2 linked regions of the Schizosaccharomyces pombe genome follow. The protein of the gene in region 2 interacts with the protein of the main gene of each other region in a biochemical or structural test. Each region holds a gene or a part of one and is shown on either strand. Other genes may lie near its edges.

Region 1 (4,463 bases), on a different chromosome or scaffold from region 2:
ACGTTCCTATGATTCTGGACTTGGTGAAAGTCTCAATAATATGCATATTGGAAAATCCATTGCAACAGCAGTACCCGTTAATACGAAACGTTCTCCCTATTCTTGCAGTGCACCAGCTATCGTATTTCCTAACAGTATTAAAGGAAACAAGGATCATCTTAAATTTGGCCGCAGTTGGTGTGATATGGATGAAGAAGATGAGGAAGACATTGTTAGCTTCGGCTCTAACGATGACTTTGGTGCTTCTGACGAACTTTCGTCTAAGCACATTGGACTTGCTGACGACTGGAATGTTCTATCCCAGTGGAATGATAACTCATAAACGATAACTTGTTTTTTGCGCTTTCTTTCCAAGCTTGGTAAGAGCTACGTTTAAAGTAGTAAATTGCATTACTTGTCCTTTGGAATCTGTATGTTAATTGAGGGTCATATATATGCTTACGTTTTTCTTTTTTTTTTTTACATATGAAAATACCTTCTATATACGCATTCTATTATTAGTTAGACTTGATCCTTTTAGTATGCAACGACCACACATGCCTTATTTATAATAATAAAATTATTCATTTCATATTAAAATCTTGAGTTTGTATTCTCCTTATAATTTGTAATAAGCGGTATAAATTAAAGGAAAGAATGAAAAAGGTGTTGGTAATTCTATAGTAAATATGGATGGCATTTATTAGATTATGAATCCAAACTGTTCGAGACAGCGAAAGTTCCGCAAAGGTGGATAATGTCATATGTTGATAAAATATGCATGCATTAAATGATAATAAAAATATAACGAGTGAGTTACAAACACGGTTGGTTGTAAGATAGGAAAAAACGATTAGGCTCTCTGGATATCTACTGATATTTCCCATTTGGGTTGAACACCAGCACCAAATATGCTTCCTACTGTTTTTTGTATAATCCTTATAATATCTTCACGAACTGCTGCCTGCTCTCGTTCACCTCCTGAAACGGTTAAGCCAATATTAGCAATACAAGTATTATAATGAGGTTGCCAAATGGCAGCATAATTAAGTTGGTCAATTCGTGTATCCTCTTTTATAAGGGAGACGCATTCAAAGACCTTTTCTTTATTAGAGTATGTCAACAAGAGCATTAAGGCAAGCGATTTGGCAATGGAGAACCCATTCACCAGGGCAGTAACAGCAATAGTTAAGGAAAGCAAATGGCTGAGAAATGAACCAACTTGATAACCAAGACTTAACAGCAACACGAGGATGAGTGAAGGTACTAATGTGAGTCCATGGAAAAAGCGAGAATTGAGTTCTCGTATGTGAGCACTAGGGTGATCCAACAATAATGCAAATCCCGATATTATAGCCGAAGCAAACAATGAAATGGTTAAATGAATGTGTACAGTCTCTTCTTCATGATCGCCAGCATGATGGAGATTACCCCAATCTTCTATAGCATGTTCGGCAGGCTCTTTTAGGAGGTTCATGCCGAGGAAGATTAAGAGGATTGAGAAGGAAAAATCAACAAGTAATTCCATTTGTTGCATTCCAAATGGGTAACGTAAACACGTGTGTCGCCAGACGAGGAACGAATCCAATGTTTCACGCCAAACGTTGATAATGATTAAAACACCTTCTACGATTAAAGAGCAAGATAAAGTGAGTAGGATAGTAGCATCCCCCGAGAGTAATACCCCTACGGCGACCAAAAAGAATAGGATTGAGCTTGTCAATTTTAGTTTTTGAGGAAAAGTAAGGATTGCGAATGTTTCTTTAAAAGTAGGAATGGGATAACTGGCAGGTATCTCTAACGGCTGTCGATTCTTGGGTGGTAAGAAATATTGATGCGAAAGCGAATGTTTGTGATGATGGCCTTTTCTGTGGGTAGGGCGAGTATCCACGCTTAACAAGTTGGGATTATTCGCACTCGGTTTTGGTAACTGATCACTAATAGTTACAGAGACATTATTATTTATAGGGTTTTGAATCTGAATAGCAGTCGGGATGTTATGATTTTGAGTCATTTTTCATTCATTTAGATATACTTTCAACAATTCTATAATGGCTTTTTTAAAAACTCACTCACCCATGCGTTTGGTGGAGTGGATGGGTAAGACCAGTTGGTACTAGGCCCAAATTGCAACAGTCTAAGATAAAGATATTGACTGTATCAGTAAATGATTATAAAAAGCCATAGTGTTGTACCATCTTTGAGACATCTACTTTTTAGTGACTAGGAATAAAAAACGCTTAGTAGAAAACGGTTAAAGATGAACAAACTTACCTTTCAGAGCCATCGTGGAACGCCATATATATAGGGTTCAAACATGCGGCTCAAAGTCATCCATACAAGGATATTATGAGTAATTTTTTTAATTCGTTTAATTAAAAATAAAATCATCATTAAGTTATAAAAAAAAGGCCACTCCAAGGGCCTGAATTCTCCTTCTACGACTTTTCCACATGTACTCGATAAGACAATAAATACACTTGGTAAAATAATAAAAATAATTATGTGTAGGTAAATAACATTACGCAGAGGTTCCTAGCTGAGTTCCATCAACTATTTTACCTACTTCTTCCATTTCTCTTCCAAATACCAACTATTGTATTCACAAGTGAGTTCTTATTACCTGAAGGAAGCATCTATACATATTAAAAAAAAGGTTTTCGGTTACAATGTCTGCGTCTGTTAGAGGGAATTCTAAAAATCCTCAATCCACATCTGCGATCACGACTTTGGTGCGTTTAAGATTAGTCTTTCTTTTTTTTTAATGATCTAACCTTGTTTACTTTTAGACTGATAAGTTATTGGAGGATATTGTAAGAAGAAGAATTGTGCTTAGTTAATCATTCTAACAGATTTTTATAGTCTGGCGACTTTGAGACCCTACAAAAGCAATTCTCTGAGAAATGTACGATTCTCTAATTTATAATGAAAGATTTTGCTTTACTAATCATAACTTTTTATGTTAACAGTGGAAACGATGTCAACTCGTTTAGATCAACTTGAAGAATCCATGCGTGAGGCCATGAACAAAAAGTCTTCTGTCTCACCGGTCACATCGACCGAGTGAACAAGATTCACCGCATAAGATTTTCAAAGCTTTCTATTTGAAGTGAGCATACAGCTTGTTTGACGTGGTGGATTGGGGATTGTGCTAGATTTGCTCTATTTTATTAAGAATAACCTCTGTTTGTCTTGCTCTGTCTATTTATTTTCAATTGTATTTCTAAGTCTCGATTGTTTGTCTTTTTCAATTGTTTACATGTTCGTACGAGAAAATTCAAATCATTTATTTTTTGTACATTTATTTTTACCTGTTAGTTCTATTGTACATTTTATATTGTTTCTTGTTTTGATTATCTAGCAAGGCCAAAGCAAGCATATACAACCCACCACAGACAATCAAACTACTTAAAACTAAAGCTACATTACATTTTCTATATCCATCGCATTCAATTTCTTTACTCGTATAAACAAAGAATCTCATTAATAAATTACGAACAATTCGCAGTACTTTCCATCATAAAGAACCAACCTTTAAAGGATGACAACTTTCCCCTCAAAAAGTTGTCGTCCCTTTTTTTCAAATAAGAACCATACAATAAAAACCTTTTTTCATAACGGATTCACGAGATAATGAAGGTTACGTCCAAAAATTTTGATATTGCAAGTATTCCCTTTACTTGTTGGACATACCCAAGGCATGACGAACATTGTTCATCAAGCCATGACCGCTGCTGGTGCTGCTTCTACGTTCCTTGCGGGAACTTTTGCTTTCAGATTTGCCCAAACCGGTGGTACCCTTGTCGCTATCCGAAGAAGCAGAAGAAACATCATCACGTACAGCAGTAGATTTGGCAGCCTTGGGCTTTTTAGTGGTAGTAGTAGCAGCAGCATTTGTGGAAGCTGAAGTAGGCAAGGTGCTGGGAGTAGATTCAACAGCCTTTGTCGTACTAGGAGTTTTAGTGGCACCGCCAACATAAGCAGGAGTGGTGGCAGAGCGGGCTGCTTTGCTTGAAACAGTCTCAGTGGTGGCAGGATAGTGATAGGCGGCGGACTTGCTCTTAGTACTAACATCAGTAGGTTCATTAGTGGTAACGGCGTGTGGATGAACGGGTTCGGTGGTATACAATTTGCTACCCTTAACACTGTTGTACTCGCTCTCCACCTTGCTTTGTTCAGCTTGAGCATCGCGTAGGGCTCTGCGTGCAACCTCTACGTCGTTGACATACTGGGATGGCTCGGCAGTGCGCAAGTCAGTCAATTTGCTTTCCTCGAGAGTCAAACGCTCCTGTGCCCGTTGAATGGCAGAGCTATAGTCGAGGTTGGCGGGTTGAGGAGGATGAGAGCGTTTAGCGTTAAGGTCTTGAGTGATGCTTTCGGCCTTGCTATACAAGTCCTTGGCCTCATTTTCCTTAGCTCTAGCAGCCTCGGCAATGGTTTCATTGCGCTTCTCAGCGGCCTTGACGGCATCATAGGCTTGAGTG
Region 2 (5,217 bases):
ATTCCATAGTTTTACTCGGACTTATGGATTCAAATGTACACTTAGTGCAAGTGACGTTTCTTATGCTATCAGTGCATTATTAGAAATGGGTAATACAGGTGTTTTGCTTCAAAGCAAAACTGTCGCTCGAAGCCCGGATATGACGGAGGAAGAATATTTGGAGAAGTTTGAAAATGCTCAAAATCAAGAATGGTTGCACAATTTTTATGATGCATACGACGCCTTGGACGATGTCGATTCATTAGAAAGAGCATTGAAGTTAGCAATGCACTTACAAAGAGCCATTGTTCGTACTGGAATCACCTTACTTGAAAAAAGAGCCATTAAAACGTTGAGATCTTTTCGTTTTGGACTTATCAACGAAGGACCAGATCTGAAAATATTTATGCATCCCCTTGCGTTAACAAAGATGAGTCTTTGGATTGCTGAAGCTATTAATGTAAGTGTCTATTGATTTTAACGTTTGACTAACACTTGAAGGAGCAAGAACGAGAATTTGGAAAGCTTAGACATCTTCCTCTTGTTTTAGCAGCTTTTGTAGAGGAAAAAAATAGGTACTTAATAGTTGGAACTTCTACTTCCGCTTTTACTAGCAATGAAGATGACGATGATGACGACGGTCATGGACACAATCGTTTTGGAGTTGCATTTCAAGAGGTTGCAAACATGACATCTGCTACTTTGCAAATGGACTGTTTTGAAGCAAGTGTGATTGAGTGTCAAAAAAGTGACCTCGGGGTTTTTTTAGAAAGTCTGTCCTTCAAAACACTATTATAAAGATTGGGTAAATAATGGGAATTTTGCTAATAAAGAAAATATTAATTCATCTAATTAAAATTACACGTAAATAAGTATGGATATCAACTGATGTAAGAACTATTTTCCACACCAGCAATTGTTTGGCCGTTCAGATTGTATACAAATGTGTTTTAAATTTGGTACAGCGATTGAGAGCTTCCTAAATACTTCATTACGAACCACGTTTAAATCACCGTCTATGCTCACCTGAATATGGAGTATTCCATACACTTCACCTCTTTCGTTTGTCCAGAACTTAGGGTTGGATAAACTGATAACGGAGTTACTTAAACTGATGTTCGACAAACACTGCTTCAATAAATATTCCGATTCTGGATCAGTCACAGAGAGCAAATTCTTCGCCGAATCTTTAATTAATGGAAGTACAGAAACAAATATTAATGCAGCAATTATTAGAGATGCCAAAGGATCAAAACCGGTCCATGAAAACCACTGTATTAATATAGTAGAGACAATAACTCCAACAGAGCCCATAGTATCTGCGATAATATGCAGAAATATGCCATGCATATTATGATTTTCATGGTGATGATGACAGTGATGATCATTGTCTAAATTCTGGAGACTTATGCTTTCATGGTCGCATTTTTCATTGTATTTATGGATGTGATCATGATTGTGGTTATGCTCATGGTGATGTTCCTGACTATTCTCATGGGTATGTTCATGTTGGGATACGTGATCGTCATTCGTATAGCCCATTTTCTGGGCTTCAACATTATCTTTTTCTTCTTCAAACTCTTCAAAAATATTTATATCATTTGTAGTGTTAGGCAGACACATACTATGATTACTATGGGAATGATGGTGATGAGACCCATGATCATGATTATGCCCATGATTGAACGCTAGGATACCTACCAAATTCACAACAAGGCCCAAAAAACTAACCAACAACAATTGGTCGGTATTCATTTGGGGCGGATGAAATAACCTATATAATGCCTCGCCGACGATAGAAAATGAAATCAAAACTAAAAAAATACCATTAGTGAAACCCGAAAGAGCCTCAATTTTTGCAAATCCAAAGGGGTAAGCATAATTTAGAGGCATCTTGGCAAGCGTCGTAGCAACTAAACCGACAAGAATAGCAATACAGTCAAAAGCCATGTGAATTGCGTCTGAAATAAGCCCCAAAGAATTTGTCCAAAGACCATAAATAACTTGCACAAACATATAAGAAACATTTAAAAGGAAGAAATAAAATATGCTTCTTGACTCTTTATCGGCAAGCACTCCATTCACTATGAAATCATTGTAAAGTCGGTAAATACGGCTGTTGTCAGGAAGCTTCAAGTTTGCTGTTATAGAAGAACCAATTTTAAAGAAGCAAAATCCTACTTGATAGAGGCATGATATGATCTTGATAGAATTTTGAGAAGCTGTCTTGTTAATAATGGCAGAAATTAGGGCCATAATTAAAGAAATATCGAATTTTCCCAAGTAAAATTGAATTCTGGCAATTCCATCCCAATTGATGCAAAAAATTTGCATAAAACAAAGAATGGTAAAACGAGTGACTGATAGATTGATTGTTCCAAGCGGAAGGACATTAAATTGAATGAGACAAGCCACAACGATAGAAGAAAAAAGGAATGCCAATTCCTTCTTTTCAAACTTCTCTTTGTTCACAAGGTAAAAGACTCGAATGAAGACACCAAGAAGTATATAAAAAACGCTGGCATAAAAAACGGAATAAGAACATTGGAAATAACCCAACAGTATTAGGATATGATTAATGACAAAAAGACATATTGGAAATGCTATATAGTTCTTCAAATTAGCAGATCTGGCATTAAATGGTGTAGGATCGTTACGAATAAAAAATAATTTGAAAGCTAGCAATAACAAACAAGTCGTGTCTAGAGTTCCAAGTACAAAGGCACCTAAAGTTATGAATACCATCGATAAAGAAGCGATTATTACATTTAATAACTGAAAAGGTTGGAACGAAAATGAATAGATGCCCAAATATTGAGTAGTAAAGCTGACAAAAGCAAAGATGCCAAAAATAAGGTAAAATGGAATCGACATGGTATTGACTTCAAGACCAGAACCAGTAATGGAGAATGCACAAATTACAGAAAACCATCCTAGTGTTTCAGATGATAGCAAAGATTTACTCGAAATGAGCGATAACAAATCTTTTTTTTTAGCTGCAGCAATTGAATCAGAACTTGTCTTTTGGTCGTCTTTTAAAACAGGAAAAGAAGGGAACCTATTGGTTCTCTCGAACGCAGAAGAATTAACATTCATTTTTGTCGTCAGGAACACCCAAAAGCTGTGGTTGACTATTAAAAAATTGAATGATTAACAAAACTTAACTAAAGAATAAAGAAAACAAAATAAAGAGTAATCCTGTTTTGAAATTTAAATCCTGAGTTGGATGTGAAAGTGCATTAAGTTAATTTGACAAAGTTAATAAGTGGTCTTAACTATTTAAAATCAAACGTTGAAAGTTATTAAAAGCGTCTTATAGTCAAACTTCTGTTTAACTAAATTTGAGATATTCTAAATCGAACATGAAATGGTTGTAGTTGTCAAAAAGACCTAACACGCTAAATTAAGTCAACCAACACAAACACAGTCTTTATACATTCGAGATTTTAAGATAATATAAGATTGATGTTTAAAAGTAAGCACTCGTACAGTTTCATTTTTAGTAATTCATGTACAACCCCTCATAATCTCACTTAGGTGCGAAGCAAATCCACAATAACAATGTGCAATATTCGTAAATTCTTGAGTTATCCAAGATCTGTAGAAAATGTCGCAAAGCAGACAATATAACTTCTTGTTAATTCAATAAAATATTTTTGAGAGTTTTTTCCTTGAAAATAGGTCAAAGTAATTTTGTAATCTGCTAACAAAATACGCACTATCCAGCATTGAAAATTGCTTGTCTTGTACCAACTCGATACGTTGATAAGGAAAAGGAGGAGTTTAAGATGGGTCGTAAGCATTATTCTAGTAAAAAAAATGTTAGTACGAAATTAATTTATTTTTTATCTTACTAATGTGTATTAAATAGAGGTCTAAAAAAGGGGAGTTTGTAAACTGGGATTTAATTGAGAGAAAGTGAGTCATGACTTCAGATTATGTTTACTTACTAGATAGAAATGAAAACTTTGAAAAGTACTACAGGCTTCAGAAATTAGTGACGGAGGATGACTTTATCCTTTTAAAGCAAAAGCTTACTGAACAACTCCCGACAACATTTCGAATAACTGCATCGATTCCGTAAGTAAAAACATTATTATTTTTTGTTTCTAATCATTTTAAAAGTCATGCTACTCAAGTTCGTGATTATTTTATAGAACACTACTATCCACTCATTGAGAATGCAAGAACTGAGGATGCGAAAATCCCCTTGCCAGTTTCACTTCCATGGTATCCTGATGGAATGGCTTTTATGCTGGACATTTCTAAGGAAGTTATTCGAAAAAGCCCTCATCTCAAGGCACTTCAAGAATTTCTTGTACTTGAAACAGAAGCGGGTGACATAAACAGGCAAGAATCTGTAAGTATGGTTCCACCATTACTTCTTAATGTAGAGAGTCACCACAAAGTTTTGGACATGTGTGCGGCGCCTGGTTCTAAGACAGCTCAATTACTCGAGGCACTTCACAAACCAACTAAGAAAGAAGATATTACTACTTTGTTGCCTTCAGGAATTGTTATTGCAAATGATAGTGACAATAAAAGAGCGCATATGCTTGTACATCAGATTAAGCGATTAAATTCTCCAAATGTGTTAATTGTTAATCACGATGCTTCCTTTTTGCCGAATTTCCATCTATCTTCTCCCGACGGTAAAAAGTTCCTTAAGTTTGATCGTATCCTTGCTGATGTCCCATGCTCTGGAGATGGAACCTTTAGAAAAAACATTGCTTTATGGAATGAGTGGTCTTTGAAAACAGCTTTAGGGCTTCACGCGACACAAATTAAGATTTTAATGAGAGGTTTACAACTGTTGGAAAAAGGAGGAAGATTGGTGTATTCAACATGTTCATTAAATCCAATTGAAAATGAGGCAGTGGTTTCTGCTGTCTTGAATGCTACCCGAGGTTCTGTAAGGTTGGTGGATGTTAGTTCGGAGCTTCCTCAGTTAAAACGTAGTCAAGGTGTTGATAACTGGGTAGTTTGTGATTCCGATCTAAATATTTATCCTTCATTTGATACCTTGCCAAAGGAGCTTTACGAAAAAATGCCTCCTACTTTATGGCCACTACCAAAGAAAGAACTTGCTGAGCTGAATATTCAAAATTGCTTACGTATTTATCCACATTTCCAAAATACTGGAGGCTTTTTTGTTGCAGTTTTAGAAAAATATGAAAATCTTACTAGCTCTATGAAAACTGCCGTCGACGATAACAAGGTTTTTTTACGAGAACAAAA

Evidence for each region.
Region 1: the proteins of cis4 (region 2) and zrg17 form a complex in vitro, tested with the Schizosaccharomyces pombe proteins (one study listed by BioGRID).

The regions. Positions count from the first base shown.
Region 1 is NC_003423.3:1,944,330-1,948,792, forward strand, and holds zrg17 (Golgi zinc importer, CDF family, Zrg17), read right to left. Parts: upstream 2,078-4,463; 5' UTR 1,994-2,077; coding exon 833-1,993; 3' UTR 608-832; downstream 1-607. Other genes in the region: serine/threonine protein kinase Ksp1, read left to right, coding at 1-322; SPOM_SPBC16E9.15 (uncharacterized protein), read left to right, coding at 2,649-2,711, 2,769-2,792, 2,842-2,884, 2,949-3,046. UniProt on the Schizosaccharomyces pombe protein: Probable transporter involved in the regulation of zinc homeostasis.
Region 2 is NC_003424.3:4,725,984-4,731,200, forward strand, and holds cis4 (Golgi zinc importer, CDF family, Cis4), read right to left. Parts: upstream 3,359-5,217; 5' UTR 3,076-3,358; coding exon 877-3,075; 3' UTR 799-876; downstream 1-798. Other genes in the region: DNA replication pre-initiation complex subunit Cdc45, read left to right, coding at 1-439, 481-777; trm401 (tRNA (cytosine-5-)-methyltransferase), read left to right, coding at 3,768-3,800, 3,851-3,897, 3,937-4,059, 4,105-5,217. UniProt on the Schizosaccharomyces pombe protein: Probable zinc transporter involved in Golgi membrane trafficking through the regulation of zinc homeostasis.